Linked DNA regions of Macaca mulatta. The protein of the gene in region 1 binds, or shares a complex with, the protein of each later gene. Links are inferred from orthologs where the notes say so. Each region holds a gene or a part of one and is shown in the gene's direction. Other genes may lie near its edges. The genes, in order: ALB and FCGRT.

Region 1 (3,804 bases):
GTCCTTTTTTGTCTTATAGTTAAGTTCAGTCGCCAACTAAGCTGAAGTTACTTCTTATTTTTGCATAACTCCAGCTCTGATCTTCATCTCATGTTTTTGCCTGAGCCTCTGTTTTCATATCACTTAGTTAGTTCTGGGAGCATACTTTAATAGCCATGTCAAGAAAAATACTAGCTGCCCCCTCACCCTCACTCCTTACCTATTAGTCAACAGCAAATCAACACAACAGAAGATAAAATGAAAATAACAGACGTTATGCATGCTCTCTAGAAACTGTCAATTGAACCGTATTTGCCCATCATTCCTACCATCTACACCACCAAAATAAGCCAAGTTTATAAACAAAACAACCCCAACATAAAATTATACACAGATAAACAGGCAATGATTGATTTTTGGGAAAAAAGTCTTCTTTACCCGATTTTGGCAACTGTGAAATGACTAGAGAATGAAGAAAATTAGACGTTTACATCTTGTCATAGAGTTTGAAGATAGTGCTGGATCTTTCTTTTTATAAGTATGATCAATAAAAACTCCCTCATTCTGTTGAAGTTATAAGATTTCTTTTCTAAGAGACCTTTAGAAGTCAGAAAGAATGTGTTTCAATTGAGAAAAAAGATAATTGGAGTTTGTACTTCCTAGATTATAAAATGCTTTTGTATGTATTATCTAATTTAATCCTCAAAAGAATTCTTCAATTTAGCATGTTGTCATGGCACTGCAGAGGCTAAAGTGCAGAGAGGCTGAGCCCTCTGCTAACAAGTCCTGCTGCTAACAAGTGATAAAGCCAGAGCTGGAAGTCACATCTGGACACCAAACCTGATGCTTCTCAGCCTGTTACCCCTTTTAGAGTTCCTTTTTTATTTCTGCTTTTATGACTTACTAGATTTCTACCCACCACACACACACTCTTAAATGGATGATTCTGCCCTAAGGAAAAATGATTACCGTTTGGTTCAGAACTAGAACTAATGAATTTTAAAAAATATTTCTGTATGTCCATTTTGAATTTTCTTTTGAGAAATAGTATTTGCCTAGTGCTTTCATATAAAATATTGCATGATAATACCATTTTGATTGGCGATTTTCTTTTTAGGGCAGTAGCTCGCTTGAGCCAGAAATTTCCCAAAGCTGAGTTTGCAGAAGTTTCCAAGTTAGTGACAGATCTTACCAAAGTCCACACGGAATGCTGCCATGGAGATCTGCTTGAATGTGCTGATGACAGGGTAAAGAGTCATCGACATGCTCTTTGGTAGCTTGCAAACTCAAGTTGGTAGAATGGATGCGTTTGGTATCATTAGTGATAGCTGACAGTGGGTTGAGACTGTCTTCTGTGCTTTTGTCTGCCCTATCTTCAATCTTTCCGTGCCTATGGTGGTGATACCTTTCTGTTTTTAACCTGGCTATAAATAACCTGATAAACCCATTCACTGATTTGTAACTCCTTTCACTCATGCTCTAACTGTAAATAAAGGCTTAAACTGAAGTAGAACAGTTACAAGGTTCTACTTGGCAGAACATCTGCAAGGTAGATGTCTAAGAAGATTTTTCTTTTCTTTTCTTGAGACAGAGTTTCACTCTTGTTGCCCAGGCTGGAGTGCAATGGTGTGATCGTGGCTCAGCGCAACCTCTGCCTCCTGGGTTCAAGTGATTCTCATGCCTCAGCCTCCCAAGTAGCTGGGATTACATGCATGCGCCACCATGCCTGGCTAATTTTGTATTTTTAGTAGAGGCGGGATTTCACCATGTTGTCCAGGCTGGTCTCGAACTCCTGACCTCAGGTGATCCACCACCTCGGCCTCCCAAAGTGCTGGGATTACAGGCATGAGCCATCGTACTCGGCCTAAGAAGATTTTTTGAGGGAGGTAGGTGGACTTGGAGAAGATCACTACTTGAAGATATTTTTGGAAATGACGTATTTTTCTTCTCTATATTCCTTCCCTTAATTAACTGTCTTTGTTAGACGTGCACATATTTGGAATGATATCTCTTTTCTCCAAACTTATAATATTTTCTTTCTCCCTTTCTTCAAGATTAAACTTATGGGCAAATACTAGAATCCTAATCTCTCGTGGCACTTTCTGGAAAATTTAAGGCAGCTATTTTATGTATGTAAGCAGGGTCTATGGCTATGATCTTGACTCATTTTTCAAAAATCTTCCATATTTTATTGGGTTATTTGGTTTCAAAAGGCCTGCACTTAATTTTGGGGAGATTATTTGGAAAAACAGCATTGAGTTTTAATGAAAAAAACTTAAATGCCCTAACAGTAGAAACATAAAATTAATAAATAACTGAGCTGAGCACCTGCTACTCATTAGTCTATTTTAATCAAGTGGGAATGTTTTTGTAGTCCTATCTACATCTCCAGGTTTAGGAGCAAACAGAGTATGTTCATAGAAGGCACATGTGTATGGTCTTAGAATACAATGAATATGTTCTGCCAATTTAATAAAGGTCTGAGGAGAATGTATAGCAATGTCAATTCGTGTTGAACAATTTCCACCAACTTACTTATAGGCGGACCTTGCCAAGTATATGTGTGAAAATCAAGATTCAATCTCCAGTAAACTGAAGGAATGCTGTGATAAACCTCTGTTGGAAAAATCCCACTGCCTTGCCGAAGTGGAAAATGATGAGATGCCTGCTGACTTGCCTTCATTAGCTGCTGATTATGTTGAGAGTAAGGATGTTTGCAAAAACTATGCTGAGGCAAAGGATGTCTTCCTGGGCATGTAAGTAGATAAGAAATTATACTTTTATAGCTTTGGTGTGACTTCACAATTTAGGAGGATGGTCTAGGCTTTTCTGTGGAATTGCTACAATTTCCCTGCTGCCCAGAATGTTTCTTCATCCTTCCCTTTCCCAGCCTTTAACAATTTTTGAAATAGTTAATTAGTCAAATACATTATCATAAAATAATATATGCTCATGGCAAAAGCTCAACATTCCTTACTCCTTAGGGATATTTCTGAAAATACCTCTAGAAACATTTTGTGTATATATAAATTATGTATACTTCATTCATTCATTCCAGGTGTAGTTCTTGAACATCTATGTGTGTGACTACGTATTGCCTGTCTGTCTGACTAATCTAATCTCATCTAATCTAGTCTATCTATCTAATCTATACAATGGTAGCAAAGAAGTATAAAAAGAAATATAGAGTCTGACATCAGGTGCTTTATATTTGGTGAAAAGACTGGAAGTTCAGTATAATGGCAATATGGTATGAAACTCAATTACAAAATAAATGTTTATATATTATCAGAAAGTGTGGTGATAAAGTTTGCATTTTTGTTGTTGGATTATGATAACATACTATGCACTAAATAATATTTCATAAAATTATGTACCTTACAAGATTTCACTCATACAGAGAAGAAACAGAGTATTTTAAGAACATATCTCTACCCATCTATCAAAACCCTTTTGAGATGTAGTTTAAATCAAACAAAATATTAATAAAAATAACAGGTGTCATTCATCAAAGACTTCATATGTGCCAAGCAGTGTGTGCTTTGTGTAGATTATGTCATGTAGTTATCATAATCCACCTTCTGGGACAGATAACATTTTTTTTCTTGAGACAGAGTTTTCCTCTTGTTGCCCAGGCTGGAGTGCAATGGCGCCATCTTGGCTCACCGCAACCTCTACCTCCCAGGTTCAAATGATTCTGCTGCCTCAGCCTCCCGAGTAGCTAGGATTACAGGCACGCACCACCATGCCTGGCTAATTTTGTATTTTTAATAGAGACAGGGTTTCACCATGCTGGTCAGGCTGGTCTAAAACTCCTGACAGCAG
Region 2 (4,559 bases), on another chromosome or scaffold:
GAGCTTGCAGTGAACTGAGATCCGGCCACTGCACTCCAGCCTGGGCGACATAGCGAGACTCTGTCTCAAAAAAAAAAAAAAAAAAAAAAAAACTATCGCTCTGTCTCGCAAAGAGACTCAGAAAGTAAAAATAAAAGTGAGAACTCCCACTAATTAGTGAAAATGCTCAAAGCGGGGGATAAGGAAGGAGACCACTACTACTCCTGCTGCCCTCCTCCCCCCACCTTGCCTAGTTCACAAGACAGGAGGAAAGAGAGAAAGAAACAAAAGTAAGATAAATAGCCAGACAACTTTGGCACCACCACCCAGCCCTAGGAGTTAAAAAAAAAAAAAAGTAATAATAATAACATCAACCCCTGGCCTAAACTACTTGTGTTATCTGTAAATCCTAGACACTGTATGAAAAAAAAAAGCATTGTAAAACTTTTTGTTCTGTTAGCTGATGCACGTAGCCCCCAGTCACGTTTCCCACACTTGCTCGATTTATCACGACCCTTTCACGTGGACCCCTTAAAGTCGTAAGCCTTTAAAAAGGCCAAGTATTTCTTTTTCCGGGAGCTTGGCTCTTAAGACGCGAGTCTGCTGACGCTCCCAGCTGTATAAAAAACCTCTTCCTTCTTTAATCTGGTGTCTGAGGAGTTTTGTCTGTGGCTCATCCTGCTACACAACCTCCACCTCCTGGGTTCAAGCAATTCTCCTGACTCAGCCTCCAGAGCAGCTGGGACTACAGGTGCTCCACCACACCCAGTTAATTTTTTTTTTTTTTTTTTTTTTGAGAGGGAGTCTCGCTCCCAGGCTGGAGTGCGGTGGTGGCACGATCTCCGCTCACTGCAAGCTCCACCGCCTGAGTTCACCCCATTCTTCTGCTTCAGCCTCCTGAGTAGCTGGGACTATAGGCGCCCGCCACCACGACGGGCTAATTTTTTGTATTTTTAGTAGAGATGGGGTTTCACGGTGTTAGCCAGGATGGTGTCGATCATCCTGACCTCGTGATCCGCCCGCCTTGGCCTCCCAAAGTGCTGGGATTACAGGCGTTAGCCACCGCGCCCGGTCTAATATTTGTATTATTAGTAGAGACGGGGGTGTCACCGTGTTAGCCAGGCTGGTCTCGAACTCCTGACCTCGTGATCCGCCCGCCTCTGCCTCCCAGCGTCCTGGGATTACAGGCGTGACTCACTGCGCCCGGCCAGCAGAAGGATATTAAAGAGCACCTGCAGGACCTTTCTAACGGGATGTCGGGGGAAGGGCTTGAAGGAGGAACTAGGGAGGCTTCCATAAGATTTTGATTAACAGCCAGCGCTAGGGAAGGTCACAGGGATACAAAAGGGTAGGAGGAGGATCCAGAGACCTCCAAGTTGTGGACTTCGAAGGCATCCGGTTCCTTTCCCAGCTTTGTCAAGAATTCCCTGGGCGGCGGACACCCTCAAAATAAAAAAAACGGGAACCACAGGGAAGGGGAAAAAGAAGAACCACAAGCGTTTTGAGAAACAAACAGAGGCTGGGCCTAGGGCCTGGGGTGTGCCCTGCAACTGGGGGGGGTGGGGCTGGATGTTCTTGGAGTCAGGGAGCAGCAGCCTCCCACAGGATGTGAGAGAGGAACTGGGGTCTCCAGTCACGGGAGCCAGGAGCCGGCCAGGGCCGCAGGCAGGAAGGGAGCGAGGCTGAAGGGAACGTGAGCCGACCAGGCCCCGATTGAGGGAGGAGGGAAGGGCCTGGACCCCTGGGCCTGAGGGAGGAGGGGCTGGGGGTCTGGACAGTGCGTCTGAGGGAGGAGGGGCTGGGGGTCTCGACACTGGTTCTGAGGGAGGAGGGGCTGGGGGCCTGGACGCCTGGGACGGAGGGAGGAGGCACTGGGGGTCTGGACACTGGGTCCGAGGGAGGAGGGGTTGGGGGCCCGGACTCCTCGGTCGGAGGGTGGAGGGGCTGGTGGCCCGGACTCCTGGGTCCGAGGGAGGAAGGGTTGGGGGCCCGGACTCCTCGGTCGGAGGGTGGAGGGGCAGGCGGCCCGGACTCCTGGGTCCGAGGGAGGAAGGGTTGGGGGCCCGGACTCCTCGGTCGGAGGGTGGAGGGGCTGGGGGCCCGGACTCCTCGGTCGGAGGGTGGAGGGGTTGGCGGCCCGGACTCCTGGGTCCGAGGGAGGAGGGGTTGGCGGCCCGGACTCCTCGGTCGGAGGGTGGAGGGGCTGGGGGCCCGGACTCCTCGGTCGGAGGGTGGAGGGGCTGGGGGCCCGGACTCCTCGGTCGGAGGGTGGAGGGGTTGGGGGCCCGGACTCCTGGGTCCGAGGGAGGAGGGGCTGGGGCCTGAGGGGGACGGAAGGGGCGTGGCCGAGCTCGGGGCCGGGACTCTCAGCCTATCAAGTTTCTGTAATTAATTAACTGAGATCCAGTTCAGGGGTGAAAGTTCTTCAGGTAGGAGGAGGGCATTGTTGTCAGTCTGGACCGAGCCCGCAGAGCCCCTCCTCGGCGTCCTGGTCCCGGCCCTGCCCTTGGTACCCCGGGAGGAAGGGGCGGGCCGGGGGTCGGGAGGAGTCACGTGCCCCCTCCCGCCCCAGGTCGTCCTCTCAGCATGAGGGTCCCGCGGCCTCAGCCCTGGGCGCTGGGGCTCCTGCTCTTTCTCCTGCCCGGGAGCCTGGGCGCAGGTGAGGGCCGCTGCGGGCCGGGGCCCTGCTGCAGGCGGGCGGTGGGAGGCGGCCCCAGGCAGGCAGGGGCGAAGCCAGCGGGACCCGAGTTCCCCGCGAGTCCCGGGCGCTGCCTTCTCCGCTCAGTTCACTTTCTCAGCGTCTCCTGCTGGGCCTGAGGCTGAGAACCACCTGTCGCTTCTGTGTCTCTGTTTCCCTCTCTCTCTCTCTGGGCCTCTGTCTGGGTCTCTGTCCCTTTCTCTCTCTCTCTCTCTGGGTCTCTGTTTCTCTCCCTGGGTCTCTGTCTCTGTCTTTCTGTCTCTCTGGGTCTCTGTCCCTCTCTCTCTCTGTGTCTCTGTCCTTCTCTCTCTGTCTCTCTCTGGGTCTCTGTCCCCCCCCCCCCCGGTCTCTGTCCTTCTCTCTCTCTCTCTCTCTGGGTCTCTGTCTCTCTCTCTCTGGGTCTCTGTCTCTCTCTCTCTGGGTCTCTGTCTCTGTCTCCCTCTCTCTCTCTGGGTCTCTGTCCCCTCCCTCTGAATCTTCCCTCTCCATAATAGATTCTTCTCCCTCCCTGGATATCTGTCCCACTGCAATCTAGTTCCCCGCCCATGTTCTCCCTTCAGCTCTGTCTCTGTCTGCAGAAAGCCACCTCTCCCTCCTGTACCACCTCACCGCGGTGTCCTCGCCTGCCCCGGGGACGCCTGCCTTCTGGGTGTCCGGCTGGCTGGGCCCGCAGCAGTACCTGAGCTACGACAGCCTGAGGGGCCAGGCGGAGCCCTGTGGAGCTTGGGTCTGGGAAAACCAAGTGTCCTGGTATTGGGAGAAAGAGACCACAGATCTGAGGATCAAGGAGAAGCTCTTTCTGGAAGCTTTCAAAGCTTTGGGGGGAAAAGGTGAGATTCGAATCCGGAGGGGCAAGGGGCTGGGTCCATGCTCCTGGGCCCCACTTACATGTGTGTGGGCGCCCCAGGCCCCTACACTCTGCAGGGCCTGCTGGGCTGTGAACTGAGCCCTGACAACACCTCGGTGCCCACCGCCAAGTTCGCCCTGAACGGCGAGGAGTTCATGAATTTCGACCTCAAGCAGGGCACCTGGGGTGGGGACTGGCCCGAGGCCCTGGCTATCAGTCAGCGGTGGCAGCAGCAGGACAAGGCGGCCAACAAGGAGCTCACCTTCCTGCTATTCTCTTGCCCACACCGGCTGCGGGAGCACCTGGAGAGGGGCCGTGGAAACCTGGAGTGGAAGGGTGAGCCGGATCTGCAGCCACAGGCTGTTCTGTCCTCTCTGCCATCACGCCCACCTGCCTCAGTTCCCCTGTCAGGACCCTCAGTCAGCCTCCCACTGCAGCCCACGCTCTGCCCCCATTCCTCAGGGGTTTTTCTACATTCAGCCCTCCCATGGCTCCCCAGCGCCCCCCAAGACAAACTCTTGGCTTCCTTGCCTTTTTTTGTTGAGACGAAGTTTCACTCTTGTTGCCCAGGCTGGAGTGCAATGGTGTGATCTCGGCTCACTGTAACCTCCGCCTCCCGGGTTCAAGTGATTCTCCTGCCTCAGCCTCCCTAGTAACTGGATTACAGGCATGCATCACCATGCCTGGCTAATTTTGTATTTTTAGTAGAGGCGGGGTTTCTTCATGCTGGTCAGGCTGGTCTCAAATTCCCAACCGCAGGTGATCCGCCCGTCTCAGCCTCCCAAAGTGCTGGGATTACAAGCGTGAGCCATCGCACCTGGCTGTCTTTTTTTTTTTTTTTTTTTTTTTTTTTGAGACAGATTCTCTGTCACCCCAGGCTGGAGTGTGGTGGCACAATCTCAGCTCACTGCAGCCTGAACCTCCCAGGCTCAAGCAATCCTCCCACGTCAGCCTCCCAAGTAGCTGCGACCACAGCATCGTCACACCTGGCTGACTTTAATTTTTATAGACACAGTGTCTCACTACGTTGCCCAG

Evidence for each region.
Region 2: the proteins of ALB (region 1) and FCGRT are in contact, whole or in part, in a crystal structure (PDB 6QIO), measured with the Homo sapiens proteins. The link is inferred for Macaca mulatta from reciprocal best matches to the Homo sapiens genes ALB and FCGRT. Residues at the interface, in NP_000468.1 of Homo sapiens: Arg105, Glu106, Thr107, Tyr108, Gly109, Glu110, Asp113, Asn133, Asn135, Gln441, Ser443, Pro445, Thr446, Glu449, Leu484, Leu487, His488, Thr491, Pro492, Val493, Tyr521, Val522, Pro523, Lys524, Thr530, Phe531, Thr532, Phe533, His534, Asp536; in NP_001129491.1 of Homo sapiens: Arg65, Glu67, Glu69, Gly72, Ala73, Val75, Trp76, Gln79, Val80, Ser81, Trp82, Trp84, Glu85, Lys86, Thr89, Arg92, Asn172, Lys173, Leu175, Thr176, Leu179, Phe180, His184, Glu188, Arg192, Gly195, Asn196, Trp199, Lys200, Glu201.

What each region holds. Positions count from the first base shown.
Region 1 is NC_133410.1:60,476,587-60,480,390, reverse strand, and holds part of ALB (albumin), read left to right. Parts: intron 1-1,096; coding exon 1,097-1,226; intron 1,227-2,520; coding exon 2,521-2,735; intron 2,736-3,804. UniProt on the Homo sapiens protein: Binds water, Ca(2+), Na(+), K(+), fatty acids, hormones, bilirubin and drugs. Its main function is the regulation of the colloidal osmotic pressure of blood. Major zinc transporter in plasma, typically binds about 80% of all plasma zinc.
Region 2 is NC_133424.1:61,952,802-61,957,360, forward strand, and holds the start of FCGRT (IgG receptor FcRn large subunit p51 precursor), read left to right. Parts: upstream 1-1,537; 5' UTR 1,538-1,672; intron 1,673-1,794; exon of another isoform or gene 1,795-1,869; intron 1,870-1,956; exon of another isoform or gene 1,957-2,408; intron 2,409-2,551; 5' UTR 2,552-2,565; coding exon 2,566-2,638; intron 2,639-3,237; coding exon of another isoform or gene 3,238-3,255; coding exon 3,256-3,507; intron 3,508-3,584; coding exon 3,585-3,860; intron 3,861-4,559. UniProt on the Homo sapiens protein: Cell surface receptor that transfers passive humoral immunity from the mother to the newborn. Binds to the Fc region of monomeric immunoglobulin gamma and mediates its selective uptake from milk.